Linked DNA regions of Cricetulus griseus. The protein of the gene in region 5 interacts with the protein of the main gene of each other region in a pairwise test. Links are inferred from orthologs where the notes say so. Each region holds a gene or a part of one and is shown on either strand. Other genes may lie near its edges. The genes, in order: Dnttip1, Prkaa2, Mad2l1bp, Aen, Homez, Sdcbp and Snrpb2.

Region 1 (3,979 bases), on a different chromosome or scaffold from region 5:
CACCCTAGTTCTACTCTCCCTTAAGTCCCAGTCATCACCTCTTCTTTTCACTCATTCCCTAGCATTTATTTATTATTTGTTTCATAAACTTCCACATTCGCAATCATGCCTGGCAATATGCTAATCATGGATTACTATTTTTTTCAGTGCTTGGGATCAAACCCCGGGCTTTGTTCACATAAGTGCTCTAAGCTATACACACAGCCCCAAATTATTTAACTAATGATGCTGATAGTATTTTTTAAAAATCAATAAAAAACTTCGTCATTTCTTTTCTTTTCGTTTTTTTTGATTTTTCAAGACAGGGTTTCTCTGTGTAGCTTTGTAGACCAGATCTATCTGTCTGCCTCTGCCCCCCGGAGTGCTGGAATTAAGGTTGGGCACCACCATCGCCTGGCAAAAGTTTGTCATTTCTTATGTTCTAATCAAGGGTGCTGAACACATTAAAATGAAACTATTTGGCAAAAAAAGATATTACTTCCAAGCAGTGGAAAAAATTTTTGGAGTATATATTTAAAATTGAAACCTTGAGTTCTCTCTGTGTAGCATGAATATGAAGAGAAATTGGTGACAGGAGGAAAGACCAGCCAGACTGTCTAGATGTCTTCCTGTATTCCCACCCCCGTATTTCTTCCTTTATTTCTTTTTCTCTCTTTTTGAGATAGGGTCCCACTATGCATTTCTCACTATGTAGACCATGCTGGCCTTGAACTCACAAAGAGCTGGGTGCTGGGATTAAAGGCATGTGTCACCATACCTGGCTTTTTCTTTTTAAGATTTTTTTTTTTTAAGATTTTATTTATTTATTATGTATACAACATTCTGCTTCCATGTATATCTGCACACCAGAAGAGGGCACCAGATCTCATAATGGATGGTTGTGAGCCACCATGTGGTTGCTGGGAATTGAACTCAGGACCTCTGGAAGATCAGTCGGTGCTCTTAACCTCTGAGCCATCTCACCAGCCCTCTTTTTAAGATTTTTTTCCCCCAAATATTTTTACATGTATGCATCTGTGGAATGTATACTCTGTGTATATACCTGCGGAGGCCACAAGAGGGCACTGGATCCTGGATCTGGAGTTCCAGGTAGCTGGGAGTGGCCTGATGGGGGTTTGCACTACTAACAGCTGAGCTACTTTTCCAGCCTCTATTCTTTTCTCCTCCATCAAGGGGTCTTACTATGCTGTCTCAGCTGGCTGTCAGCTGCCTCAGCCTCCTGAGTAGTTGGGTCCACCACTGAACCTGGCTGCACTGTTTGTTTTCGTAGTGCTGTTAGCTTTGTACGCCTCTCACCTTCATGTACTTGTTGAAGACACTCTGGATCTCCTCATTGATGCTTGGCTGCAAGACAGCACGGAGGAGATCCATAGAGATGGCTGGATCTGTGAAACTGCATTCAGAAGAGAGACAGTCAGAGGGAGTGTCCCAAACATACTCCCCAGGTGGCCCAGCAGTACTGGACAAAACCAGCTTTGTGCTCAAAGTCTGGCAGATCACAGAAACACAGCATTTTATTTCATCATAACTCTCCAAGGTCCACCTGCCTCAGACAAGTGCTGTGATTAATAAATGATTATCAATAACCCAGGCCAAAAATACAACTAGAATTCCAAAGGCCCATCCTGGGTTCTTTCCCTTCCCCAGGCTGCACACTTAACTGGTAGCCCCACATCTCTGCTGAGAAAACCGAGGCTAAGAGAAATTAAGGATAACCAAAGTTATCCGGTTAATAATCGTCAGAGCCTGCATTACAAAGGTCATCTGAATCTTGGTTTTACATTCTCTCCATCACAGAGGCGATAAACGCGAGAGAACGTAATAGACTGTACTACCTTTCCTGTTTTTCTTTTGGAAGTGGAACTGACTTAAGGTCACAGGAAGAATCCCAGCCCCCGAGTCTCTCTCCACCCCAAGTCCTCTTTCTGCCAATTCCTCATCCCAGACTCCCGCAGCGGGGTTCCTAAAGCACTCACCCGGTCTCACCCAGGGCCAGCCTTACCTTGTGGTCATCTGAGAGCGGCGGCCCCTTCGCTGCACCTGCCGGTGTTTTATCATTATGTTCCAAGGGTTCTGTGGGGACCAAGTGGGCAAATGTCACCGAGGCCCCTCACGGTGGGGACGAGGGGTCAGTGGATATACATAAAGCTAAACATAGACGTTCTTGCTTCTCACTTCTCCCACCTTGGGGTGAAGGGGAATTCAGTGGCTGGAAAACCCTGTCAGGGTGGAGGAACTGGGGAAAATGTTTTCTGCCTCAAAAGCCCTAAGCTCGCTTTTTTTTTTTTTTTTCTGGAAGGGCAAGGATAAGAGCAGCAGTGTTTACCGAGCGTCTACCCTGTGGCGGGTGATGTTAGGGCGCTCTACCCGCCTTTATCAGCCCATCCCACCACAACTCCATCAAGCTGGGGTTACTGCTGTTCATTTCACAGAAGAGAAGCCTGGCGCTCAGAGCTTGTCACATCAGGCCCACGTCACCTAGCTAGAATCTGAATCCAGGGTCGTCGCACGGAGAAAACGGCACCCCCAGGGCCGCACAGCCGCCGCGTTCTCTTGCCCGCGGGCCCGGAGCCCGGGAGCCCGAGGCCCTGCCCGGCCCGAGCCCCGGCCTCGCCCGGGCGCCCTCACCGTGAGAACCGGCTGCCCCGCCGCGCCCGCGTCGCCCAACTCCAGGCCGCCTCGTTCTGCCACGCCGGGGCCCCGCGGCTGCTCGGTGTCGCCAGTCGCCCCCATGGCGCCCCCGGCCCACAACAACCTCAGCTCGACTCAGCCACCGGAAAGCGGCGCCGTGACGTCACGGGAGCGTCCCGGCCACCCGGCCGGAAGCGCGACGCGGGTGCGCCGAGCGGTTGCTATGGGAACCGAACTGCCGCCTGGGAGCCGCGTCTAGGTGGATTTCCGGATCTTGGGTGTGGGGACGAGGTTGGGGCTTCCAAACCCCTGGAAGACGACGGCTGGGGACCGGGTGTGGGTGTTCGGGGACCATTCGGCCCCGGGACGAGTGCGGATGTGAGGGCCGCAGAGCACAGGCTGTAGCTGGGGAACACAGGGTTTGGGATAGGGACTGTCCGCAGTGCAGTCTTGAAAACCGCAGGAAAATCTGATACATTGGTACAAGGTCCCAGAAGTGGAGCGGACCGACTCAGGAACCAGGAAAGCCAACAGAAAGAGGGCTGCTCGTGCCATCACAAACAGCCACTAGCCTTTAGTGCCTGCCTCTTGTTGTCTGAAGGCATCAGAATGAAGGTTGAGTTTTGGCTTTTGAGCTTGCTCTGTTCCAGAGAGCTGGCTTTCCTTTCCACTAGACGGTTATTCTGGGATAGGTTGGGGATGAAGGGTTTAGCAACAGTGGCTAAACACCCACAAGAGCCCCACTTAGCACTGTCTCAGAGGTAAGCGTGTCCGTGAAAGAATTGGATTCATTTGCGGGTGATTGATAACGTTACTCTTCGCAGGTTGCCGTAATCAGGTAGTGTAAAGTGTATGGGTTTTGCGTTAGGAAAGATCTAGGTTCAGTCCTGTTGTGATATGATTATTAGCATTGGCTGTGGCAGGTGTGATGTTGCACATAACCCCAGAACTTAGGAAGAAGTAGGAGGAGGCTCAGGAGTTTGAGGCCAGCCTGGGCTGCATAGCAAGACCCTGTCTCAGCCAAGGGCTAAGAATATTGGCTGTGGGTCTGGATCTTTGTTCCCCTCATATTAACTGCATGGTCACTCTCACTCCCTTCCACAAGGACCAAGTTGTAAACTTTTTGTATTGATGCTGCAACACTTGGATACTGCTTTTTCGTGGGTTCTGACAGTTCCCAAGGATGGACAGAATGTTATGATTCAGTTACACCACTAGCTTGGTTATTTTCTTTTAAGTTGTCTTTCCAGTTCTTCCCTCTGTCAGAGGCTAGGAAAGCCAAAGGCCCTTTCTGATCCTGTGGACGGAAGGAAGAACACTGAGCTTTTGTTCACTACCAGGGCCGTTC
Region 2 (4,110 bases), on a different chromosome or scaffold from region 5:
GGCTTGTCAACTTGATACAGAGAGTTATCAGGAAGGAGGGAACCTCACCTGAGAAAATGCCTCCATAATATCCGGCTGTAATGCATTTTCTTAATTAGTGATTAATGGGGGAGGGCGCAGCCATTGTGGGTAGTGCCATCCCTGGACAGGTGGTCCTGGTTTCTATAAAAAAGCAGGCTCCCCCGGGCATTAGAGGCGCATGCCTTTAATCCCAGCACTCGGGAGGCAGAGGCAGGCTGATCTCTGTGAGTTCGAGGCCAGCCTGGTCTCCAGAGCGAGTGCCAGGATAGGCTCCAAAGCTACACAGAGAAACCCTGTCTCGAAACCCCCCCCCCCCCCAAAAAAAAAAAAAAAAACCAGGCTCAGCAAGCCATGGGAATCAAGCTAGTAAGCAGCACTCCTTCATGGCCTCTGCATCAGCTCCTGCCTTCAGGTTCCTGCCCTGACTTTGATGATGAACAATGTTGTGGAAGTGTAAAGCGAACAAACCCTTTGCTCCCTAACTTGCATTTTGGTCATTTCCCCCCCTACAGCAATAGAAAACCTAAGAGAGTGGGAAAGATTTATTGTAAATAAAAGCGGACAAAACGGCAGAAGCAAGGCAGAGACATCTGGGAGGGTCCAGAGTGAACAGGGCCATACTGAGCAGGACCACGTGAGGAGAAAGGGGGGGGGAGGGAGAGCAAGAGAAGAGCCTGGACCAATGTAGCCAAAATGGCTGAGGTAGATGGGGGCCAGAGGAGCTGGGGGAAGTGGCAGCCAGGGCTGCAGAGTTCAAGGTAGGGGGCGGGGTAGGCCAGCCAGGAGGACTGTAGGGTGGAGATGGAGGGATGCTGGGACAACCTGGCGGCCAGCATCACCTCTGATCATTTAACAGGCGCCCCAGTTAGCCATTTGTCCTTGGTTTGAGATCCAACAATAACACGACTAGGAACTGCAAAACAAGCGTGAGTTATGAGAGGGTACAGACTAGAACGTCCCCAGACAATCGAGCCTTGACCGGAGGAGCATCCCGGGGGGTAGAGGAGAGCCGCCCACCCCAGCGTCCACCCCACCTGCCCCGAGGGAAGTCTCACTGTCCACACCCCCTCTCCCCCACTTCTTTGCAGATTCTCCTTCCGTCTCTGTCGCGCTCAGATTCGTCCCTCCCATCTGCACTCCTTGGGGCTTTCCTCAGGGCGCCTGGGCTCTGCGTCCCACCGGCTTCGCCAGCCCCACCGCGCCCGGCGCCCCCGGCGTCCCCGTCCCGCCCCCTGGGCCCGCTGCACTGTGGGTAGGCGGCGGCGGCGGCGGTGGCGGCGGCGCTGAGGGCCCGCGGCCGAGGGAGGCCGTGCGCCGAACATGGCTGAGAAGCAGAAGCACGACGGGAGGGTGAAGATCGGGCATTACGTGCTGGGGGACACCCTGGGCGTCGGCACCTTCGGCAAAGTGAAGAGTGAGTGCAGCGATGCCGGCGGGGGGCCGGGCGGCAGGTGGAGAGCCCGCGGGCGAGCCGGGGAGCCCCCAGCATCTCGCGCAGCAGCCCCGGGCGTGGGTCGGGGGAGCCCGCGTTATGAGCTATGCCTCGGCGGTCCCTGCGAGTCCCCAGTCCCTTCTTTATCCCTCAGAGCGCTTGTCTGCAGAACTGGGCGACTGGCCCAGTCTGAAGGGCCCTGAAGCATGGGGAGGATGGGAGAGACACCGCGCCGTGGATTGGGAGTGAGTCTCCCACTCGTGCCAGATGCCCTGCGTGGAGCGTCACCTGTGACCTCAGTCATTCCTTAATGTGGCACGGTCCGGGTGTGGTTTTCACCTTAAAGGTGAGAGAACGCAAACCCCAAGGCTCCAGCGACACGCCCAAGGTCACAGAGAATTGGCAGATCCAGGGTCTGAAGTCTAAGATGTCCTCCAATTTTGGCCTTGCTGAGAGGTCCCTGCCTTCCCTATTATACCTCCCTGTACCAGACTTTGATGGTGGAGTTGACTGGGGGGCATGCCTAGAGCCAGGAGGTGGGGGGTTCCTTTGCTGAGTGTGTGAAATGCTGGAATGCAGTAGGTTGCACCCCCACCCCCACCCCCACCCCGGTCTCTGCAGGTTGATTGGTGTGTAAAATGTTTGAGAAAGGTTTCTGGGGTCAGGGTCGCAACAAACGATCCTTTGTGATGGAATTTGGGGCCCAAGAGGTCAGGATTGCTTAGGCATGTGTTCTTGAGGTTTGCTGTCTTTGGTGAAGGGATTGCAATTGGGGTTTAGAAAACAGTAACAACAGTAGCAACAAAACAAAAAAGCCAAAACAAATACACACAAAACAGGCAGCTTTGGAAATTTCGCACTGTACTTTCTAGTTAAGTATTAAACTTTGCTTTGCTTTCTTATTAGTTAATAAGAGTCACATGGGCTTTGCTTACCTGTCCTCTTAACAGCTCTTGTTAAAAATACTTGGTAGCAAGTTGAGAATTAAAAGTGAAACATTAGCTTTTTGTTGTTGTTGGATAAATGTTGTTGGGTAAGCAGTCTAGAAATGTTATGCCGAGGTTTATTTTACATTTTAACCTCAAGTGAAGACTTGGGTTAAAAGTAGGAGGGAGAGACGCGTCATTTCTCAACGACTGACCCCTGTTCTTGGTATATCTTATACCCATTTGTACAACGAGAAAACACTTACTGAGAACTCTTAGCACACATGAGGCACTGTTCCAGGCAGCAGACTTCTAGGAAAGAACAAAACCTGAGCTTTCCTGGGGCTTACTTTCTACCAGGACAATCAGAATACACGTGTGAAGCCCGAGAATAGGCGAGCAGAGGGCAGTTTTGTGAGGTTGGCAGATTATAATGAAGTGGTCACACGTGGTGTTCCTGAGTGGGTATTTTTGTAAAGACCTAAATTGTTTGTGAAATTCTTTGAAGTCTTGTGAAGGCTATGAAGTTGAGATGAAAATCAGTTGGGGTCTTGGAAGAACAGGAGAAGATCCAGAGATTAATGAATGATGTTGACAACATCTTTGCTGAGAACTGCTTTGTTAAGACATTGCGCAGTTAAGCGACAGTTGCTTTGCCATTTAGGGTTAGTTATATAGCTTAGCCCTATATTCTTTCACATTCTGCTAAGTGCTTTTGTTTGTCCAGCCCATTGTCAAAGGATAATTTAAATCTATTTAGGTCATATTTTCTCTCTGCTTCTAAGCGCCACCTTCCTAAACTGCAAACCTAACAGAAGGGACCTTTGATTTATGGGGAAAATCCTTTTCCTGGAGAACCCTGGTGGAATGAGCAACTGGTTGAAGTTTTCCTGACACTGTTTGATCTTCCTAAGGAGACACTGTGGTGCAATAGCTAATTTTTTTAACCGATTCACCCAAGGTAGCATATTCTCGGAAGGTCATCTTGATGAAGGATCACTTAGATTACTTAGCTTGTGGGCATATCTGTGGGAATTGCTTAGGTTGTATTAATTGAAATGAAAAGACCCACCCATTCTGGGTTTGGGGCCTGGACTGTAGAAGTGTGGAGAGAGGACTGAGCATGAGCAAACATGCTTGCATGCATTCTCTCTCTGCTCTTGACTAAGGATGTGGCTGCTTCAAGTTCTTGCCATGACTTCCCAGAAATGGATGGCATCTGGAATTTTGAGTTAAAATACTCTCTTTCTCCACTGAGTTGCTTTTAGTCAGGGTGTTTTATGACAGAAATTAAACTAGGGCATGTGGTTTGTAGTAAGTCCAACTCCAGTTGTTCAGTTAATTCAAGGTGAAACAAAGCATGTACATTTAAAAATACATTTTTACTTATTTAACAATTTCATACTTATATACAATGTGCTTTAATCAAATACACCCCCTACTCTCTCCCCTTCAACTCCTATCATACACTGCCACGTCTCCATTCCAAGTTTATGTACTCCTTTTTTTTAACTCACTGAGTCCACATGGTGCTGCCAATCTGTGCATGGGTATAGGGCCAACCACTGGAGCATGGGCAACCTACCAGGAGTCACATCTGAAGAAAACTAGCCTCCAATCCCCAGCCAGATGAGCAGCTGTCAAGCTGTCAACTGCCAGTTGCTTCTCAGCTAGGAGTTGGCCCTCTTGCGCTCCTATCTTATCCAAGGAATGAATATATATATATATATA
Region 3 (4,142 bases), on a different chromosome or scaffold from region 5:
TGTAATGCTGGTGTGGAAGTCTGTTTTGTTCTCCCATTATGTATATCAGGAGGACTGAATTCAGGTCATCAGTTCTGGCTGCAAATGCCTTTGTCTTCTCTGACATCTTCTTGCAAGCCCCATAACAGGTATTTCCCTACTGTGTGTGTGTGTGTGTGTGTATGTGTGCCTGCCACAGAGAGGTGTGGAGGGAGTCTGGTCTTTCTTTTCACCTTGTGGGTCCTGTTTGAACTCAGGTCATCAGGCTCAGTGGAAAGCTTCCTTACCCTCTGTGGCATCTCCCAGGGTTCCTCACTGCCCTAATTGAAAAAATTTACCCATCAACCTACAGGAAAAAATCATATTCAAACTTAAACATTACTTGTAAGCCGGGCGTTGGTGGCACACGCCGTTAATCCCAGCACTCGGGAGGCAGAGGCAGGCAGATCTCTGTGAGTTCAAGACCAGTCTGGTCTACAAGTGAGTTCCAGGACAGCCTCCAAAGCCACAGAGAAACCCTGTCTCGGAAAAAAAAAAAAAAAAAAAAACCAAAAACCAAAAACAAAACCTTAACCCCCTAGACTGGGAGTGGTGGAACACGCCTTTAATCCAAGAATATGGAGGCAGAGTCAGGTGACTCTCCAAGCCTGGTCTACATAGTGAGTTCCAGCACAGCTAGGGCCATTATACAGGGAAATCCTGTCTTGGAAAACCAACCCCTGCCCCTCCTCTGCCCCCCACAAAGCTTAACTCTTTTGCTTTTGTTGTTATTTTTGAAACAGTTTCCCTGTTAGCCTTGTCTGTCCTGGAAATCGCTATGTAGACCAGACTGGCCTCAACTCACAGGAGTGCTGGGATTAAAGGTGTATGCCACCACCACCCAACAAAACTGTAACTCTTTATAATATGAATTTCTTCTAGTCCTTGAACAGAGAACGTGGTGTCTCATGATCTCAAACATTAGGATCATCCTTTTAACCTAGCTAACTTTACCTATAGGTCACGGGGCACACATTCTGGGGACCACCCTTTCCCTGCCCTAAAGTCTCACCCTGCCGCAACCCGCTGTGGGGCGGGCGCCCCTGTTCTTCACAACCCCGGTGCAAGCCCATTGTCTAATCCGCAATAGGGCTGCAGATTGACTTGACAGTGGCTGAGTCTCCAGCACCTAGGACAGGGCCTGGCACGAAGTAGGGCGCAGTGAGAGGTGCGCAGTGAACTGTCGTGAAAGGATGCGCCTTTAGGAAGGCGGCCCCAGGGGTCGCAAGGGTCGCCTAGGTGGGGAGGGCCAAACGTTCCTTTGCCAGGGTGTGGTTCAACTCAGCCAACTCCACCCTCCACCACCCAGGGGCCGCGCTGAATCCCTTCCGGCTGGCAGGCTGCAGGAAGTGGAGCTCAAGCTAGCTTCCCATGATGCTCCGCGCGGCGTCTATTTATTTTAACCGCAGGGCGACTGAGCAGTAGCGATGGCTGCGCCCAGGCCAGAGTTCCTGTCTGAGCCGGCTCCCGTGGCCGTGCCCGGTAAGGCATGGGATCCAGAGCTTGGGGGCCTGTTTCTTCCCTGCTGCTACCTCCCTGGAGGAAGTCAGCCGCTGCGCTTCCTCCGTCGTTCCTCCCTGTCCCTTTGGTTCCCGGTGTCCCGGCCGGCCCGAGCTGGCCCTGTGGGTCACTTCCTCGCTTTGTGTGGAGTTGCTTCTCCTGCCGTGTCCTTTCGGGTGTGCTGGCCCCCACGCCACCCTTCATAGCGAAGCCTCACTCTGTCTCCGAAAGCCTCCTTGTGTCCGATGTCATTTAAGTCGCCCCCCCGCCGGGCCAGCATCTGGTCTCCTGTCACCGCCCAGGGTGTATGGGGGCGTCTGCTGCTGTGACCCCTGGGAACGAGAAGAGTGATGCTGATTTTGATCCCCCCTCTCTTTAACTTTTCATTCACGGACTAGATTTGGATTGGTACGAGAAGCCGGAAGAAACTCATGCTCCCCAGATAGACCCCGAGACCGCCATCACGCCACCCCAGGAACCTTCCAATCCTCCGGAGCCCTTTTGCCCGAGAGACTTGGTGCCGGTGGTTTTCCCAGGGCCCGTGAGCCAGGAAGGCTGCTGTCAGTTTACTTGTGAACTTCTAAAGCATATCATGTACCAACGCCAACAGCTCCCTCTGCCCTATGAACAGCTTAAGAACTTCTACCGAAAATCTCCCCAGGTATGCACAGGCTTTGAAAGAAAATTGGTGGGAAGACCTTGTGGCCCTTAGATGGTGGACAAGTAGGAAAGTGAGTTAAGAAATCCTCAGTTTCCGTGGCAGCCTAGGCCTTTGCAAAGTCTTCCCTTCCTCATAATTCGCCCCACTTGGGTCTTGGTGGTGTCTCTACTCTTCCCTTGCTCTCTGTCTGAAACTCTTTCTTCCTAGTATGTGTCATATGAGGACATCATGAATTTGTTCTCTAAATTTTTTATTTTTTTGAAACAGAATTTCGCTATGTAGTTGGGGCCAGAGATCTGCCTGCCTCTCAACTTCCCCAGTGACTGTTGGGTTATAAGAGTGCACCACCACATCTTGTCTTTCCTTAATGGTCTCTCCTCCCTCCTTCCCTTCCTTCCCCTCCCCTTCCTTCCCCTCCACTCTTGGGACTCCAAGGCCTCCCACACACTAGAGAAGTGCTGTATTACTAAGCTATAACCCCACACCTGAACTAGCTGCTTACATCTGAATTTTTTTTTCTCACCACATTTTCACCTCTGTTTTTGGTTTTGTTTTAATGTATTTTCTTTGGAGAATTTATTTTTTTAAAGATTTTTTTTTATTTTATTATGTACATATGTACAGCAGAAAAGGGCACCAGATTTCATTATAGATGGCTGTGAGCCACCATGAACTCAGGTCCTCTGGAAGAGCAGCCAGTACTCTTAAGTGCAGATCCATCTCTCCAGCCCCATGAGACCCTGTCTTAAAAAATGATTCAAAAAAAAAAAAAAAGTTAAAGGGTATTAAAATTCTCCCCAGAGTTTCCTCACAGAGGTTTTTGCTCAGCACTGCCCCCCATGCTTTCTACCTGCCTACACTGTCTAGTGGACTTGCTTCCTGGGGGTGTCTCCTTTACTAGCAGTTGATAATCAGCTCTCCTAACTCTTAATTCACCCCCCCCCCATTTGGTGCTGGGACTGTCTCTTTATCTTCTGAAGCTTCTTTTTGTTTTTTGTTTTTTTGAGACAGGGTTTCTCTGTGCAGCTTTGGAGCCTATCCTGGCACTCGCTCTGGAGACCAGGCTGGCCTCGATCCACCTGCCTCTGCCTCCGGAGTGCTGGGATTAAAGGCGTGCGCCACCAACGCCCAGCCTTCTGAAGCTTCTTGCTTGTGGCCAATGTTGTACATTCTTTCATGCTTTCTTTACAGGGAGCTCTTTCTAACTCACTCCTTCTTCTCCCTTAATGAACTTCTTTTCTTGCTATTTTAGGAGGAAGCATATATTAATGAGTGAGTGTGTGAGAGAGGGAGGGAGAGAGAGAGAGAGAGAGAAGAGACTGGGTACCTGTGCCACAGTGGAGGTCAAAGGATAATTTTGTGAAGTCATTCTTTCCTGTCTTTACTTGTGTTCTGGGGATCTGAACTCAGGTTGTCAGGCTTGTGCAGCAAGCCCCTTTAACTGCTGAGCCCTCTCACCCCCTTGTGACTATTTTGATGCCCTCCAGCTTTTCTTTATTTTTGGTTTTTCGAGACAGGGTTTCCATGTGGCTTTGGAGGCTATTCTGGAACTAGCTCTTGTAGACCAGGCTGGCCTTGAACTCACAGAGATCCACCTGCCTCTTCCGAGTGGTGGGATTAAAGGCGTGCGCCACCACCACCCAGTGCCCTACAGTTTTTCAATACCATCTTGCGATTCAAGGCATAGAGAACTGTAGTTTATACAGTGCATGTATTTCCCTAATTTAATGCTTTCTGATAAAGCCCAATGTCAGAAATCTTGTGTATCTCCACGGGGTTCCTCCAAGGCCATTCACTTCATCCTACACATCCTTTTCTTCCATCATTCTTTGTCTTACAGGCAGAGGCCACTGTAAGGAAGAAACCTAGGATCACCACTGAGGTGAGCAGCAAGAAGTGTCAGCAGACTCTGGCAGAACTGGAGAGTGTCCTCAGTCACCTAGAAGACTTCTTTACCCGAACA
Region 4 (4,071 bases), on a different chromosome or scaffold from region 5:
GCACAAAGAAACTTCTCTAATGAGGTCTTAGAGTTCCATCAATCTAATTTATGAAAATACAGATTATTAAGGGAAATTTGATACTGTCTGTCCATTTAGCAAAATAATAGTGGTAGGTTCACCTTTGGGGCCTATGAGCTCCTCTAGCTTTCCTTTTTAAACTTTACTTGTTAAAATGCAAGCGTGTGCACAGGTGTGTGTGTGGGGGAGGGTGGGGGGAGCATGAGCACATCCATACAGGTTAGAGGACAACTTGAGGGAGTTTTTTGTTGACTGGGGTGTTTCATTTCTGCTTCTATCCTTCTACTCTAGCCAGCCAGAGAACTTTAGTTTTTCTGTCTCCATGTACCATCTCCCTGTAGGAGTACAGGGATCGCACATGTGTGATACCACTTCTGGCTTTGCAAGGCAGTTGGTGGATCAAATTCAGGCTGTCAGACTTACAGAGCAAGTACCTTTTACCTCCTGGGTCAACTCTCCCATCCTATTTTCAAAACTTTTCATAGGGAAAGAAGTATATGAGTAAAAGTATCACAAAGGAATAGGTACGCTGGGTGTGGTGGCAAAAGGTTGTAATCCAAACACTGGGATGTCAAAGGCAAGAGGATCAGAAGTTCAAATTCCTGCTAGCTACATAGAAAATGTGAGGGCATTAAGTCAACTTGACGCAAGGAAAAAAAGAAAATGTAGAGGCAACCTGTCTCAAAAAAAATATTAAATATTGAAATATCAGTCCAGAAGAAGCAAACCTGATTTTTCCAATGTATCAGATACTGTATTATTATGATTATTTTATTATTTATTACAGTCGAGCCAGGGTTTCTCTGTAGCCCTTGTTGTCCTGGAACTTGCTCTGTAGACCAGACTGGTCTGGAACTCACAGAGATCCTCTTGCCTTTGCCTCCTAAGTGCTGGGATTAAAGGCGTGCGCCAACACACCCCTGGTTCACTGTTAATATTTCACCAGATTTCCAAAACCCAGAGGCGGGAGGGGCTGCAGTCCCCCTTAGGCAGATGTGGGTGTGCTAAGTGTGTCAACCGATCTTTGAAAGTTGAAGTTCATTGGGCATCAGATCAGAAACCGTAGGCCTTCACTAGCGTCTGGGACTGAAGAGCTAAGTGTCATTGCACCTCTTACTAACCTCCAAACACTGCCCTTTCCGCGCACAAGCCACGCCCCGTAGGTAGTCCCTCCCCTTCTGGGCTGCCACACCTACTCGAGGAAGACCAATCAGCAAAGGCCTTAGGCGGGCGCTGCGGCCCAGCGAACCAATAGACAGGCAGCCGAAGCCGGGCTTGTCCGGGCAAGCTGCCGCTGCGGCGGGCAAGGATTCCACGTGTAGGCCGGGAAAACGCGGCCGGGTTTTTAGGTGAGCTGGGGGTCGGCCGGGGAGTCCCGAGCCGCCGGTCTCTATGCCAGGTGTCCGCCGCTCTCGGGGCGGGGCGGCGGGCGGGGCGGGCCGGGCGGTGTGCAGTCAGACCGGCGTGCTGCCTCACACGGTCCTGGCCGCTCTCGGGGGCTGTGGGCCTGAGGGGGGCGGCGACTGCGAGGATCGCCTACCGGACGCCACAACCAGTGGGGAGAGCGTACTCCCCCTCTTCCACCCCTTTTGGTCTGGTAAGCTTTTGGGTAGCACCGAGAGCCTTATTGCGCCAGGCTTTCCCTAACTGGGATGATTATCAGAATCGTGACTTGAGGGTGGGTCTCGGGTCTTGTCCCTAAACTTTGCCTTCTCCCTAGGGCTACCTGGTCAAAGCCCGCGCTTAATAGTTGAGGGACGACAGTGCCTTCCCGAGGTCATCTGGTTATTTCGTGCTAGAACAGGATGGTAAACCGGCCTTCTGATAGAGACCTGGTCTGCCGGTAGGCAGACGGCCCTTAGGCCACTGACGTCTCTGGCTTTGCAGTTTCTTGGGCGCCTTCTCATCGGGAGCCCTCTTGGGTCAGGGACCCTCAGCTGAAAGCCGAGTGCCTATCATACTGACCAGACTTAAGACGAGAAAAATTTGTGTGTGCCCTTGCTGAAAGGCCTGTGTCCTCTGAATACTTCTCTGCAGCTAAATTGAGTTCCATCCAGTGGTTTCCCTTGGTAATTGTTGGTTCTGGCATGTCCACAGGGCCAGGGACTATAGGAAATGACTGCTTTTATCTCTTCAGATACAAGACTAGAGACATTTCCTCAAGGGAACCTAATATTAGCTTCTTTCAAACCCTGCCAGCATGGAAAGTCAGTGGTCAGCAGGACCAGCACAGGTCTTCTGGGCCAGTTTTTCTCCCATTGCTGGGCTAGGGCAAATTGAGATTCTGAATTTGTCAGTTCCAAGATGTGGTTTGTGGATATGAAGAAGTTGCTGACAACCTCTGTTTAAAAGAGGGAGTACTATTTGGAGACCGGTTGAGCTTGCTGAGAGCAGGTGAGTCAGCAGGGGTCATGGAGTCTCCTCCTGGCTAAGTGGGGCAATATTCCTCATGCAGGTGCTGGCATCAGCAAACACAGGACTTGCCCTCTGGCTTTGCTACCTACTCCTGTGCTACTACTGCCCAGGCTCCTACTCTAACCTTCTCCAATGAAGTAGCTGTGATGTTCCCCTAAAACCTTCCAGTCTCTCTCTCCCCTGTGTCACTGAGCGCAATCCTCTGTCGCTTGCTTGCAGTCTCTCACCATTCCCCACTCCACCTGTCTCCGTACCTCCTGCTACCTAGCTGTTTACAGACTGCACCAAAATCTTGGTCCTTTCTCCCCGCTCTTAGCTTTGTGCCTGTTGCTTCCCTTTTCTGAGCACCCTTTTCCTCCCTGGGCTACCTGGGAAATCCGTCTGAAATGCTGCAGCATCCCCTCTATTGCCAGGCCTTCCTTAACTCAGTGTTTCTTCCTGTTTGGGTGCCTGCTCAGGGTCCTAGGTCCCCTTCCTGTTAGTCCCATTGCTCTGGGGTTCCAAGAATATTGAGCTCTATAGTACCCCAGGGCCGGTCACTGGGAGGCCCGGCTTGAGCTTCTGAAAGGAGTCTGCCCAAAGAGAGGGACAGCAGACATGGTCCGGCTCTGCAGCTTGCTGACTCGAGGCAGTCTGAGACTGAGCTGTTGACTGAGGAGGAGTGTAAAATCCAATGTATTGTAGTTCACAGGGTGAATTTCTTTGCTCCCAAATAGACACAGTTGATGTCCTGGATTAGGGCTGCTGGTCTACATTTTACTGGCCCACCTGGGTGTCTCAGGTCTCCCTCACTTGACCAACAGACATCAGGGTGAGGACACTCGCCTAGGATAAGAGTGGCTTGTGGAAGGACCTCGAAAGTCAGTGGCAGAAGATGAAGTGGTAAAAAGGAAGCAGCAGCCTCCCCAGCTGTCATCCCTGTTATACTTTATGGTGTAACCTGGTGACTTCAGGTGGCTCCTGAGTCTCCCACTGCCCACTCCCTCTTCTCTGAAGGGTTACTGTTCTCCATTTACATGGAAGTGACTTCTAGGAATCACCTGCAGGCCGAGTCTGTTTGGCCTCCTCGTACCTCTGGCCAGCTCTTGGCACACCATGTGCTGCATTTATGTGTCTCTGGTCAAACCAAGCTTCCCAGCCCGGGTTCCATCTTAGTAGCTGCCCAGCATCTGGTACAGTTGGGACCCCCAGAGAATCTCTTTGCAACATTGGGGAGATGCAGGGGTTCCAGAACAGCATTTGCTGATACAGAGTTGCCGCTGGGTCTGCAGGCGATGGAGGGGTATATTTTGGGAAGAGCAGTGAGTCCAGATGGAGGCAGCTCTGGCCTAAGGATAGCTGGCTGCCCAGTGTCCGAAAGAGAATCGCCTTGCTGGAGGAAAGGAGCAGAGACTAGTTATTGAGCCTTACTATGTGTGAGGTATGTGTATGTCAGACATGGGAGCACAGTGATTTATAGAGACCTAGGTTAAACCTTGCACTGCAGATTTCAGCTTTAGGGATTTTCGGTGATGATGTTCAGCTGGAATCTGTTTCTGAAACCTTTGCTTCCCTGTATTCATACTCCCAGCAGTCTTGTAAGCTACCACTTTTAGAGGTGAGCTTGACTTCAGAGCATGGACTCTGGATTCCTAT
Region 5 (4,282 bases):
GCGAGTTCTAGGACAGGCTCCAAGACACAGAGAAACCCTGTCTCAAAAAACCTAAATAAATAATGTACCTAGTCAAGGATAATGGAGGGAGAGGAAGGAAAGATGCCACGCCAGGTGGTATAGCGGGTTGGCCAGAGCCAGGAGAGAACCCAGTGTATGGAAAGCTGGCATTTACATTGGTTCCCGAGTTCTCTAGCAGGCTCATGGGCTAGTGCCTTTCTGACCCTGTAGAACTGGAATGCTGGCACAGGAGAAGGTGGGGTAAAAGTCTGGGCCCCTTGGAGGACAGGAAGGCACAGCATAATGAATGATGGTCTTTCCCTATGATAGAGGATATATAGCAAAGTTTTTAATTTTGTTCTTAATCAAAGAAAAATACATACCACCATGATTACCCACACAGACTATGGGAACCTCCTGGGCTCACAATCCCATACTCTTGAACAAATTACTGAGTCTGGACTTATTTCTAAAAGAGATAATGCTCAAGTCACAGTGCTGTTTTAAACATGCATGTCACACATTTAGCACACAAGTTAAATAGGATCTGTTAAGAAGTAACAGTCACACACACACACACACACACACACACACACACACACACACACACACTAGGAATGATGCCACCACAATGGAACCTCCACCCAGTCTCCCTGGGTTCCTTGTTGAAGATTAGAGAGTGACCAGAGTTTGGTGGTTTCCAGTACAGTGCCTCCTGCGACTTTGCTGAACCTGAAGGTGATCCCCAGGAAACATCAAACTGTTTTCTGTACAAGGTCAGAAGATGCTTAGATGTGAATGTTTGATGAATGACTGCAGGGGCAAAGGGACAAGCCCCAAACTGAATTCTGAATGATGTGTGGGTACCTGGCAGGGAAGAGGTGGAGTGAGAAACTGGCTGTGGACAGGGATTTCTCAAGGGAAAGGGGATGCCCCGTAGAGACCAACAAGGGTGAAGAGTGGAAATAAAGGCAAAAGTCCTACATGTTCAAAGAAACAAGTGAGGGGGCTGGAGAGATGGCTCAGAGGTTAAGAGCACTGGCTGCTCTTCCAGAGGTCCCGAGTTCAATTCCCAGCAACTACATGGTGGCTCACAACCATCTGTAATGAGATCTGGTGACCTCTTCTGGCCTGTAAGCAAACATGCAGGCAGAACACTGCATACACAATAAATGAATAAATCTTAAAAAAGAAAGAAGGGAAAGGGAAAGACAAGGAAAGGAAAAACAACCAGCAAAACCCAACTCTCACCTGGAGCCTCCCTAGGAAGGGCATGAGGTGTGAATGTGGGCATTGCATTAGGCTCCAGGTTCTCCATTTCATTGACTTGGATATGGATCAAACTGTCACCTCTGCCTTCATTTTTTGTTTTCTATTTCTTATACCCATGACCTCCAGAGTTCCAACTGTTCCATTCTGGGGCTACCATGCATCACTTTCCCTAACAGTAATACTGGTCTCCGTTTTCTCACGGGACTGGGGCTCTAAGTCTGTGGAAGTTAAGAGCAAATGGCACAGGGTGAGCTGTGGCGTGGAACACACTGAGGCTATGGGCTGCTTATGGGCTGTATCCTGGATCATCTGTGCCCCACTCCCAAAAAGTGGTGTGTGTGTGGGGGAGACTATCCTCATCTCCAACCACAGACTCACTGTGCTAGGTAAGCCTTGCTGCTGCTTTTAATTTTCTGAGACAGTCTCATGTAGCCCAGGATAGATTAAATAATCAATCATATTAGCTGGCTGGCCTCAAACTCAACAGTCTCCCTGTGTGTGTCACAACACCTGGCTTGCCCTGTGGGCTTTAATTGTAGCACTAGATTGGAGAATACAGTTTCTAACCTATACTGTGCCATGAACAGATCATGAGACACCAAAATGTAGCCCTAAAAACATAGTGGCTCACACCAATAACCCCAGCACAGCAGGGGCTAGGGCAGGAGACCCTGGGCTAGAGACCCTGTCCAGAAAAAAAAAAAAAAAGGAACCTTAAGGGACCACCTAACTCAAATCCAATTTCTCACAGAGGAACCTGGAGTCCAAAAAGATAAAATAACCTGCTCAATCATACAGATACTTGGTGGTTTCCTCTTCTTTCAGAGGCACAAAGAATAAATCAGTAGTGATTTTCATGATTCACTGTCCCTCCGCAGACAGTCCACAAAGTGCTTCAAGGTTTTAAGAGGCACCCAGAAAAGTAAGGCTGGCATTCATTTTTCTGGAAGCCTGATTATGCAAACCCCTTAGATGCCCCATTATTTGACTACAAGGGCAGGCTTGGAGTTGGTTTTGCCACCATCTGCAGATGCCACCAAGGCTCGCCCCGTGGCTGAAGGACTCTCTCCCATGTTTCCTTGAAGACTGAAGCCAGGAACTGCTGAGAGTCAAGGGAATGCTGTCACACTGCCAGGGCCCAGGGGCAATGGTCAAATTCCTGGGGTTAAGCAAGGCAATTTCGGCTCAGATAAAGCTAGGGTGGGCAGGGCACGGGGACCTGAGGTGGTAGGGCCAGTGAGAGGGAAGCAAACCGAATGACTTCACTGGGCTTCCTAGCCCAAGGAGGCTTCACTTTCCAGAGCCCTTCTGGGCCTCTTATCTCGAGTTCCTTCCGCTTACACCTACCTGCCATTTTCCACCCTAATCTCTTGAGTTTCACAGACGGTTTCCAGCCACCTCGACTTGACTCTCTGGGACCGCCCTCCACCCATCTGCCAATTGTGGTTCCCGGGTTCCTGGCGCCACAGTCTCCCCCCACGCCTGGGTGCCACTGTTTTGTCCCTGCTGTGGCCAGCAGGAGCCTAGTTCAAATAAAATGGATCCAGCCCTGGGGCTCCGCGGCTCCGGCACCACCAGGGTGCTCGGGCCCAAGCAGCGCGTAGTCCCGGCCACCGTTGTTGTCCCAGAACTCGCGGCCGGTCACGCGGTAGCGCAGGGCGAAGAGCAGGGCGCCGCCGACCGGAGGCGCCGGCAGGCGGAAGGAGAAGCGGTCAGCCCGCGGCGGGGCCGGGGCAGGGCCGGCGTAGGCGGCGGGCGACTCCCGCAGGCTGCGCCAGCCGTCCGCGCTCCAGCGCACGCTCACGCGCTTCTCGTAGGCCAGGTCCAGCACGCGCGCGCTCCCGGCCACGCCCAGCGGGCCCGCGTCGGCGCGCTCCAGGCAGATGCGCTGCGCCTGCAGGCGGGCGGCGAAGCCGGGCTCCAGGGCGGGCTCCAGGGCCACGCGCGCCTCCTGAGGAGAGAGGGCGGGGAGGCGGGTCAGAGGAGGGCTTGGAGCGCGGAGGCCGAGGTCCCGGGGACGGGGGCGGGGCGCCTACCTGGAGGCCGCGGGCGCGCGGCGGGCACGGCGCGAAGTGGCGCAGGGCGTCCCTCTGCAGTTGCACCTGCACGTGGCGGGGCACCCGGGGCGGCTCCCCCGGGCGGAAGCGGCGGACCACGACCAGCTCTAGCCCCAGCGCGTCAGCGAAACGCACTCTCTTGCGAGTGTCAGGGCTGCGGCTGCGGGCTGCCCGCGCCCCGCCGCCACCTGCGGGCGCAGAGCGGGCCCTGCGCCCCCGACCCGGAACGTGAGCCCGCGAGCGGGCGCCGGGCCGGGTCCCGCCCTCCCCCGGCTCCTCCTCCGACTCCTCCTCGAGGCTGGGCCGCTGGCTGCGGTAGTAGGCACGTTCGGTCAGCGCTGCTATAAAGCTCAGGTTGCGAGGGATGTCGGTGCGCGGAGGCCGCTCGCGGGACATGGCACCCCTGCGCCCCAGCGGGGCCGGCGCACAGTGCCCGCCCGGCGCGTCCTCACTCGGCCACCCGCTCCGCGTCCGCGCATAGGGCGGAAGGCTGCTTCGGCAGCTGCTAGCCCTGGACTCGCCTTCTTGCTGTCACCTCGCGTTCTTGGCCTGGCGGGTTTCCTTGACCACCTTTCCCTGCCTTTGGCGGTCAACCCCACTGTCTTCTAAGACTGTCGGTCCTGCCGGCTTCCCGCTGTCTGCTCTGAGCGTGCGCTCAACGGCGCTCTCCCTTCGGTTCTGCGGGCCTCGCTGACCCGGCCCCCGCCCACAGCCCTCTGACAGGTGGCTCGGCATCTATCTTCCCTGCTGCACCAGGGGGCGGGACTGACTCCACCCTCGGGGTCCCAAATGAGTAACTCCAGTATGAGAAGGGTTAAAGCGGGGAGGAAAGAGTAATCCTTCATTTTCTTGCATGGAAAGTTCAAAATGCCGAGAGGCTAATTCTCTTCCCCAGAGCTCAGTGTTTTCTTAAACCCAGGCTACAGGTTTGGGATAGAGGTGAAGATGGGCGT
Region 6 (3,500 bases), on a different chromosome or scaffold from region 5:
TGATATTTATAGAAAGTTTATCTTCTAGCACAGAAAAAACAAACAATTAATAGGTTTTATTTTAGTAACTGGCTCAGAGGCCAGTTAGTATATCTGACTTCCTTTGCCCAGGTCTGCATTCTTTGTTCCCTTTGATTTGATTAGCACACCAATGTCCCCTCCCCATTTGCATGTTTCTTGCCTCAAAGGTAATCTGGTTTCCTTTAGAATTATCTACATAATAAGGCTCTTTGGTGTGCTCTTTTTCTTTCTCTATCATTTTGTTCTATTTAATTTGTTCTGGAGATTTTTATTAACTCTTCTCCACAGTGACAGTTTCATTTTACATGCTGTGTAATTTTGGTTTTTGTATTTCATCTAGTTCTCTGCCCCAACATTATTAAAATTATGTATATTGAAGGTGTACAGCATATCGTGTATCAATTTATGTATGTTGTGAAGTGTTCCCACAGTCAAGCCAACCCCTATATCTATCCCTTCCTAGAGTTACAACATTTTAGAATATAGTTATAACACTGGCAAGTTTCAGTTACAAAGATTGACAAGCCATGGTTACTGTGCTGTTCATTAGCACCCCAGACTTACTTTTATCATTGAAAGTCTGTCTACTTTGTCCATCTCCCCATTCTTCTTCTGCCCATCCCTTACCCCCTCTAATCCTGATACTACTTATAGTTTTCATATCAACATCAGACTGTACTATCGTTTTGTCTTTGACATATTTCCTTTAGTATAATGCCCCCAGGGTCATCATACAGTCCAACTGCCCATGTTTTTATGGCTTGAGTATTATGACATTGTGTATCTCTAGACAACATTTTCTTTCTTCATCTGTTGACAGATACTTGCTTCTAAGCTTTGGTCACTATGAGTAATGAATATGGGTATGCAGTTATCATTGGGATTTAGTGATTTTTATTTCCCTTTTGCTTTTGCCCAGAAGTAGGATTGTTTGACCTAGGGCAAGTACATTTTCATTTTATGAGGATCCTCCATATGGTTTTTCATAATGGTTATACTGAGTACATTTGGTGTATGGCAATGCACAGAAGTTTACCAACATTTCTGTCTTTTTGGTAGATAAACTTTTATGTGAGGTGGTAGTGCCATTTCCTGGCTTTGATTTGCATCTTCTAATGATAAATGATCCCTTTCACATTCCCATGAGCCATTTGTTACCTTTGGGAAAATAGCTTATGTAGGCACGTTGCCCATTTTTTAAGTTGATTTACTTGCTTTTCTTTGTTGACTTTTGAGAACAGCTTTTTTGCTGTTCTTTATACATCTGGATACTTGTCCCTTAATATATGATTTGTAAATAACTTCTCCATTCCCATTGGTTGCTCTCTTCCTGTGACCTTTTTTGTTTGTTTTGAGGCAGGGTCTCTCTATGTAGACCATGCTGGCCTTGAACTTACAGAGATCTACTTATCTCTGCTAGGATCAAAGGTATGTGCCACCATGCCTGGCCCCAGCTGTGAAGAAACTTTTTAAGTTTGATATAGTCCTACTTACTGATTTTTGCTTATGCTTCTGGTGAAAAATAATAAAAAAAAATACATTGTCAAGATAAGTGTCAAAGAGATTTGTGTTTTCTCCTAGCTCTATGTTGTGAGCAGATCTTAACAGTTAAGATTTTGAATCCATTTGGAGCTGGTGTTTATATTTGGTAAAAGATCAGCCCCAGCCACTGCCCTGCTCATGATACTTCTGTTTTCCCAATATCATTATACATGTGGTGACTTTGTCAAGAGTAGTTTAATATAAATGTTTTTATGTCATCTCTTTATTTCATTCCTGATATAAATCCTTGTTCATATTTGGCTTATTTTTAAATAGGTAATTTTATAATTATACCAGAGAAATCTTCTGGAGAATTCGTGCTGTAAAAATCCAGTGTGACCTGTTAGTTCTAGGAAATTATGTTTGAAATGAAGGTAAAACATAGTTGTAGGTGACAGGGATATCTTGTGAGAAATGATTCATGTGTTGCTTTCAGTGCTGTGCCATCTTCATATAGTATAGCCCTCATTGGACAAGGCAGTCTTTTGAGACTGTTGCCACTTACATGTTCTCTGGTTGAGGCAGTTTGGCAGCAGATGATGATTGATACACAGGAGTGCCAGTTGACTTAAAGTAACAAGCCTAGAGCAAAACCACTGAATCTTATCTACCCAAGGTTAATGGAGTAAATCAGTAGAGGAATGGAGAAGTGAAAAACCAGTGTCATTATTGTAGAACTCAGACTTCACCTGAGTGAACTTATTTGTGGAATAGTATTTGTAAGAACTAGAACTGTGCATGCTCCAGTTTTCTGTAGATTACTTTCAAGGAAAGTGTTTCTAAATATTGACCAATTATGTGTTTTTCCAGCAGTTGGTAGCAAGACCATCCAGTGTGAACTATATGGTAGCACCTGTGACAGGTAACGATGCTGGAATTCGGAGAGCAGAAATTAAACAAGGGATTCGTGAAGTTATTCTGTGTAAGGATCAAGATGGAAAAATTGGGCTCAGACTTAAGTCAATAGATAATGTAAGTATTTATATTTTTGAACTTATCTAAATAGGTCATGAAATTTTAATATCAAATAATTTGAAATGAAAATAGTTTGACCGGCTGTAATGACACATCCCCAATGAGGAATGTTACGAATCTACTAATTTAAATTTTCTACCTGTTCGGAAGAAGCTGTGCTGGAACTTGCAAGCAGATCACTGCAAACAAGCTTTTCTTTTTGATTCTCTTTACTGAATGCTGTCATGGGGTTTGCATAAACCACGTGATAGAATTTATGTGATAGAATATAGGCTTGACATAGGGCAGCGTATGTGAAAGTAAAGGGAAAATTGAAGAGTAAGAATTGGGTGTGCACTTGTAAACTAAGTGATAATTATTTGTGAGATGACTTTGCAAGTTTATTATTTCTATTTATAAAACTTGCACTTGATAGGCCATTTGTGAACAAGTTGTTTGTAATTTAGGCAGTGAATCACCTTGCCACACTAAAGACATGAAATCTCAGATACATTTTAAAATGTTATGGACATGGTAGATCTCATAAACGTCAATTTACAATCTTTCTTTCTTTCTTTCTTTCTTTCTTTCTTTTTTTTTTTTTGGATTCTTTGTGGCTTTGGAGCTGTCCTGGAACTAGCTCTTGTAGACCAGGCTGGTCTCGAACTCACAGAGATCTTCCTGCCTCTGCCTCTCGAGTGCTGGGACTAAAGGAGTGTGCCACCACACACACCCCCTTGCTCTATTTCTTTTTTATAGCCATTATCTTATTGATTCTGTTTCAGTCTTAAGGCTCCTTAGCTTAGTGAGTCCAAGTTTCCACAAACAAAATAAGTGGCACACTGTTTAGGTGAATGAGGCTGACCTGGGCAGGAAAAGCCAGCACTACCTTTCCACTCAAAGGGCTGAGAGCATGATTGTATGTAGCCCTCGGCACATGTTCAAGACACACCATTGTGTTTTTGTAAAGTCCTGACCTCACT
Region 7 (4,081 bases), on a different chromosome or scaffold from region 5:
AAAATAGCTATGAACTCTTGGCCAGATCTATTTATATAACACAGTGAACGGATCGCTTATTTCAGGAAAAGCTTTTGAGCTGCTCTCATTACCACCAAGCAGTTAATTAGCTGCTTAGATGTGTGTGTGTGTTAATGGGCAGGGCACCTTGTTGTTCCTTAGAAATTATTTTTATATTTACTTGATGTTCTTTTGTTAAGAATATACTAAAAAAAAAAAACAGAATATACTCAATAAACCAGGAGGTAATGGTGCATGCCTTTAATTCCAGCACTTGGGAGGCAGAGGCAAGTGGATCTCTGTGAGTTCAAGACCAGCCTGGTCTACAAGAGCAAGTTTCAGGACAGGCTTCAAAGTAATACAGAGAACCCTGCCTCGGAAAAAAGGGGGAGGGGTATTATACTCAATAGTCTTTTTAAAAAACAGGCTGGTTTCTATGTGTGTATACTTAAAGAACACTTTCCTATGGTTGTTCCTACACTTACAGGATCCTCACTAGATATCACACTTGTTTCATTGTGGCCTAATTTCCTGAAACTTCATCCATTCATCCAATGCATATTTATTATCAGTCATTCTTCCAATTACTTCAGTGAACAAAACAAAGTATCTACCCTCAAGACACTATTTCCATGCCACAACTTCAGGTGATTAAAAAACAAAACAAAACAAAACAAACAAAAAAACCCCCAGAAGCCTCGAGCTAATGAAATCAACCAATTTTGTTCCCACCCCAATTTTTAACCTAGAAAAATCCAGACATTTTGTGAGGAAAGGAGACAGTAGGAGGGTGGGAGGAAGTTAATGGTTTCTGAGTGAGTTTAGGCATGTGACCTTTAGGTTGATTGCTTGTTCCTGAAACATGGTGAGAGAACCAACAAACACTCTCTTCGCCCTGGGGTCGAAGACAGGGCTGCATCTAATGTAATCTGCAGAGTGCTGGAGTGTTCTTTCAGACTCTCAGAAATCTGAGGTTGAATTCCGGGAGTGAAAAGGGCCATTCTAAAGGTGGCATTAAGCAAAGTTGGCCAGCACTCATTGAAAGGTTTGCCCACTTGTCTCTGGAGACAGGCTGAAGAACTGTATCACATCCTAAAGTTGGGAAGCTTCAACATCGAGGTAGGAGAAAACCATCCCCTTCCCTTCTCTCCTTCACAGCTTGGCCCCTGGATCCTAATTTCATCCTCTCCTTCCCACAGTAACAGTCCTCGCCACCCTTCAGGGCTGCGCATGCGCAGAAAGATTCCGGTGCGGGAGGCCGGGGCCAGGAGATATCGATTGACTCGGTGCTCGGCTCCTCGACTTCTCTGCGTTCGATTGAGGAGTGTGGCCTCGCTCTTCCGGCGCCAGGAAGCTCTTCCGGTTTTGGCTTCAAGCGGGACGGAGCTTGCTTCAGGTGTGTCCCTCTGAGTCTTCCTAGCTGTGGGTGGTTTCGGGGGGCTTGGCCGGATACTCGCACTGGCAACCGAGCCGGCCAGGGCGAAGGTGTCGTCTGCTGCGCGGTCCCGGGCTCGGCGGAGAGTGCGACCTAGGGGAGGAAGGGACGGCGACCCAAGGGCTGGCGGGTTGAGGCCCGGCGTCGCGACCGGTTCTCACGGAGTGATTGGGTTTTTAACGCCCGTGGGGCCCGCGCGTTGGGCAGATTGACCGGTGTGTGAAGAGGCTCAAGCTGCTGCCTAGGAATCAGCCCTGGGGTAAAGAACGGGCGGTTGTTTGGGGCATTTACGGTCCGATGAACACTCTGAGCCCTCCGCCCTCAGCAGCCTTTTGGATGAGGGCGGCGGGGGCATTTCAGGTGCCCCCCCTTCAGCCGGCAGGAGCTACTGCCAGAGTTTCTGCTCTGGTCCCTGTCTTCCTTGAGACCCCAGTCCTTCTCCAGGTTCCCATTTAGGGAAGCAAGCCTTTGATAAACGTTACCTACTAACTGTGACCTGCGTAGTGCAGTCCCTTCTTGTAAGTCATCCATCCCATGATGTTCAGCACAGCGTGTTGTGTGACGTTCAGACCCTTGAACTTGTAATAACCGTCAATAATAAATAGTAACTTTAGGTGCTTGCTGATGCAGACCGTTAGGTATCTGTCTCCTTTAGTCTTCTGGGCTCCATTTTGTAGGTGCTGTTACTATCCGTAATTTGTAGCTGAGGACCCGAGGCATTAAGTAAGGAACTAGCCCCCCAGCAAAGCAGATTGTAAAAGCATAGACAGAATTTAAATCCGGATCTCATTGGTGCCAGAATCCGAGTTCTTAATTATCATTCTAGATTGTTTGCTAAGAGTATCATTCCTTTCAAATCTGTCAGAGGGAATCTCGAGGTCAGCCGTGGAGGTGATGTGTATAAATTAAGAAATACGTTTCAGGGCTGTCGAGATGGCTCAACTGGTAAAGGTGCTTTTTGTCCACCTTGAGCACTTTGAGTTGGGCCCCTGAGACCCATATGGTGGAAGAGGAGAACCTGGCCTTGAAAGGTTGTTCTCTTACCCTAGAATTAGTGGTGACCCTCTCTCTCTCTCTCTCTCTCTCCCTCCCTCCCTCTCTCTCTCTCTCTCTCTCTCTCTCTCTCTCTCTCTCTCTCTCTCTCTCTCATACACACACACACACACACACACACACAATCGTTTAAATAGTTTGTGAATGCGCTTGTGAACTGCATTGTAAATTTTATTTTTCTATTGCAATATTTTTTTTCCTAACTAGGCTTATGCTTTCTAGTTTCTTACATAAATGTTTAAATCACCGAAATAATTTCTGGTGAATATAATCAAAATGCATTGTATGACATCCTCAAAGAATTAGTGAATATACTTTTAAAAAGTTATTATTATTTTGTTTGTTTTTTCGAGACAGGATTTCTCTGTGTAGCTTTGGAGCCTATCCTGGCACTCACTCTGGAGACCAGGCTGGCCTTGAACTCACAGAGATCCCCTGCTTCTGTCTCCCTAGTGCTGGGATTAACGGCTTGCGCCACCAACCCCGAAAAAGTTATTTATTTTAAAAAATATTATGTAGATCATTTATTGGGGGTTGGGTAAGAAAATGTAGTACCTTGAATAAAATGTTTCTAAATCTGTGTGTATTGGTGTTCTGTTAAGTTTTGACCGTGAGAACTATTTTCTTTTTGTCCAAAAAGCCCCAGTAGTGGCTAGGGAGGAATTGCTGTCTACTGTCAACTAACAGTTTCTGACATCTGAGGTGGCAAAAATAATTTATCAACTAATGGTTCTTGTCTTTGGTCATGCCATACATCTGTGTGCTTTAACCCCCCTTGCTAACAACATATTACTTATTTCTTTTAGGCTATTCCAAAGGTTTTACTCAAACATGGATATCAGACCAAATCACACGATTTATATCAACAATATGAATGATAAAATTAAAAAAGAAGGTATGGTTTGTTTGTTTTGTTTTTTGTTTTGTTTTTAATCCCAGGTGCACGCCTGGGATTAAAGGCGTGCTCCACCAGTGCCCGGCGAAGGTATGTTCTTTTAAAAATACTTGTTCACAACTAAAATGTGTTGGTTCACCTATCTTAAGAATGTTTCTTAATGTCTGATCTAGTCATCTTTCATTTGTTCTGCAATGGTTTATCCCATTTTTACACAACTCGAAGGTTTTTTAATATAAGAACATGCAGGGACTGAAGTGCTTTGAATTGTTTTAACTCATAAATGGTTTCAAATAACTATTTAAATTAGATGGCTAATGAGAATAGTTTGGATGTTTCTTTTTTCAATTTACTATAAATGAATGATAGAGGTAGTCATTGTATTGCTATTTTATGAAGAACTTAGTCATTGTTTCGTTCACAAATTCCTTCTTATTTGTACAGAATTGAAGAGATCCCTGTATGCCCTGTTTTCTCAGTTTGGACACGTGGTAGATATTGTGGCTTTAAAGACCATGAAGATGAGGGGGCAGGCTTTCGTTATATTTAAGGAACTGGGTTCATCCACAAATGCTTTGAGGCAGTTACAAGGATTTCCATTTTATGGTAAACCAATGGTAAGCTAATCCTATTATTTCTGCTTTAATCACTATTATTGAATGATACAGTAGGTTTTAAGTATGAACTTGATGCTAGGC

What was found.
Region 1: the proteins of Homez (region 5) and Dnttip1 interact in binary tests that used the Homo sapiens proteins (3 or more experiments, as listed by UniProt). The two-hybrid records come from large-scale screens. The link is inferred for Cricetulus griseus from reciprocal best matches to the Homo sapiens genes HOMEZ and DNTTIP1.
Region 2: the proteins of Homez (region 5) and Prkaa2 interact in binary tests that used the Homo sapiens proteins (3 or more experiments, as listed by UniProt). The two-hybrid records come from large-scale screens. The link is inferred for Cricetulus griseus from reciprocal best matches to the Homo sapiens genes HOMEZ and PRKAA2.
Region 3: the proteins of Homez (region 5) and Mad2l1bp interact in binary tests that used the Homo sapiens proteins (3 or more experiments, as listed by UniProt). The two-hybrid records come from large-scale screens. The link is inferred for Cricetulus griseus from reciprocal best matches to the Homo sapiens genes HOMEZ and MAD2L1BP.
Region 4: the proteins of Homez (region 5) and Aen interact in binary tests that used the Homo sapiens proteins (3 or more experiments, as listed by UniProt). The two-hybrid records come from large-scale screens. The link is inferred for Cricetulus griseus from reciprocal best matches to the Homo sapiens genes HOMEZ and AEN.
Region 6: the proteins of Homez (region 5) and Sdcbp interact in binary tests that used the Homo sapiens proteins (3 or more experiments, as listed by UniProt). The two-hybrid records come from large-scale screens. The link is inferred for Cricetulus griseus from reciprocal best matches to the Homo sapiens genes HOMEZ and SDCBP.
Region 7: the proteins of Homez (region 5) and Snrpb2 interact in binary tests that used the Homo sapiens proteins (3 or more experiments, as listed by UniProt). The two-hybrid records come from large-scale screens. The link is inferred for Cricetulus griseus from reciprocal best matches to the Homo sapiens genes HOMEZ and SNRPB2.

The regions. Positions count from the first base shown.
Region 1 is NC_048599.1:14,681,305-14,685,283, forward strand, and holds the start of Dnttip1 (deoxynucleotidyltransferase terminal-interacting protein 1), read right to left. Parts: upstream 2,801-3,979; 5' UTR 2,734-2,800; coding exon 2,629-2,733; intron 2,074-2,628; coding exon 2,003-2,073; intron 1,394-2,002; coding exon 1,297-1,393; intron 1-1,296. UniProt on the Homo sapiens protein: Increases DNTT terminal deoxynucleotidyltransferase activity (in vitro). Also acts as a transcriptional regulator, binding to the consensus sequence 5'-GNTGCATG-3' following an AT-tract.
Region 2 is NC_048595.1:44,756,287-44,760,396, forward strand, and holds the start of Prkaa2 (5'-AMP-activated protein kinase catalytic subunit alpha-2), read left to right. Parts: upstream 1-1,310; 5' UTR 1,311-1,341; coding exon 1,342-1,435; intron 1,436-4,110. UniProt on the Homo sapiens protein: Catalytic subunit of AMP-activated protein kinase (AMPK), an energy sensor protein kinase that plays a key role in regulating cellular energy metabolism.
Region 3 is NW_023276963.1:39,225-43,366, forward strand, and holds the start of Mad2l1bp (MAD2L1-binding protein), read left to right. Parts: upstream 1-1,342; 5' UTR 1,343-1,445; coding exon 1,446-1,500; intron 1,501-1,916; coding exon 1,917-2,179; intron 2,180-4,019; coding exon 4,020-4,142. UniProt on the Homo sapiens protein: May function to silence the spindle checkpoint and allow mitosis to proceed through anaphase by binding MAD2L1 after it has become dissociated from the MAD2L1-CDC20 complex.
Region 4 is NC_048596.1:118,717,369-118,721,439, reverse strand, and holds the start of Aen (apoptosis-enhancing nuclease), read left to right. Parts: upstream 1-1,271; 5' UTR 1,272-1,370; intron 1,371-1,468; exon of another isoform or gene 1,469-1,618; intron 1,619-4,071. UniProt on the Homo sapiens protein: Exonuclease with activity against single- and double-stranded DNA and RNA. Mediates p53-induced apoptosis.
Region 5 is NW_023276807.1:210,071,609-210,075,890, forward strand, and holds the start of Homez (homeobox and leucine zipper protein Homez), read right to left. Parts: upstream 2,801-4,282; 5' UTR 2,627-2,800; coding exon 2,620-2,626; exon of another isoform or gene 323-2,619; intron 1-322. Other genes in the region: protein phosphatase 1 regulatory subunit 3E, read right to left, coding at 2,801-3,223, 3,309-3,725. UniProt on the Homo sapiens protein: May function as a transcriptional regulator.
Region 6 is NC_048595.1:154,135,917-154,139,416, reverse strand, and holds part of Sdcbp (syntenin-1), read left to right. Parts: intron 1-2,373; coding exon 2,374-2,535; intron 2,536-3,500. UniProt on the Homo sapiens protein: Multifunctional adapter protein involved in diverse array of functions including trafficking of transmembrane proteins, neuro and immunomodulation, exosome biogenesis, and tumorigenesis.
Region 7 is NC_048599.1:35,876,597-35,880,677, reverse strand, and holds the start of Snrpb2 (U2 small nuclear ribonucleoprotein B''), read left to right. Parts: upstream 1-1,281; 5' UTR 1,282-1,396; intron 1,397-3,294; 5' UTR 3,295-3,319; coding exon 3,320-3,383; exon of another isoform or gene 3,384-3,473; intron 3,474-3,827; coding exon 3,828-4,000; intron 4,001-4,081. UniProt on the Homo sapiens protein: Involved in pre-mRNA splicing as component of the spliceosome. Associated with sn-RNP U2, where it contributes to the binding of stem loop IV of U2 snRNA.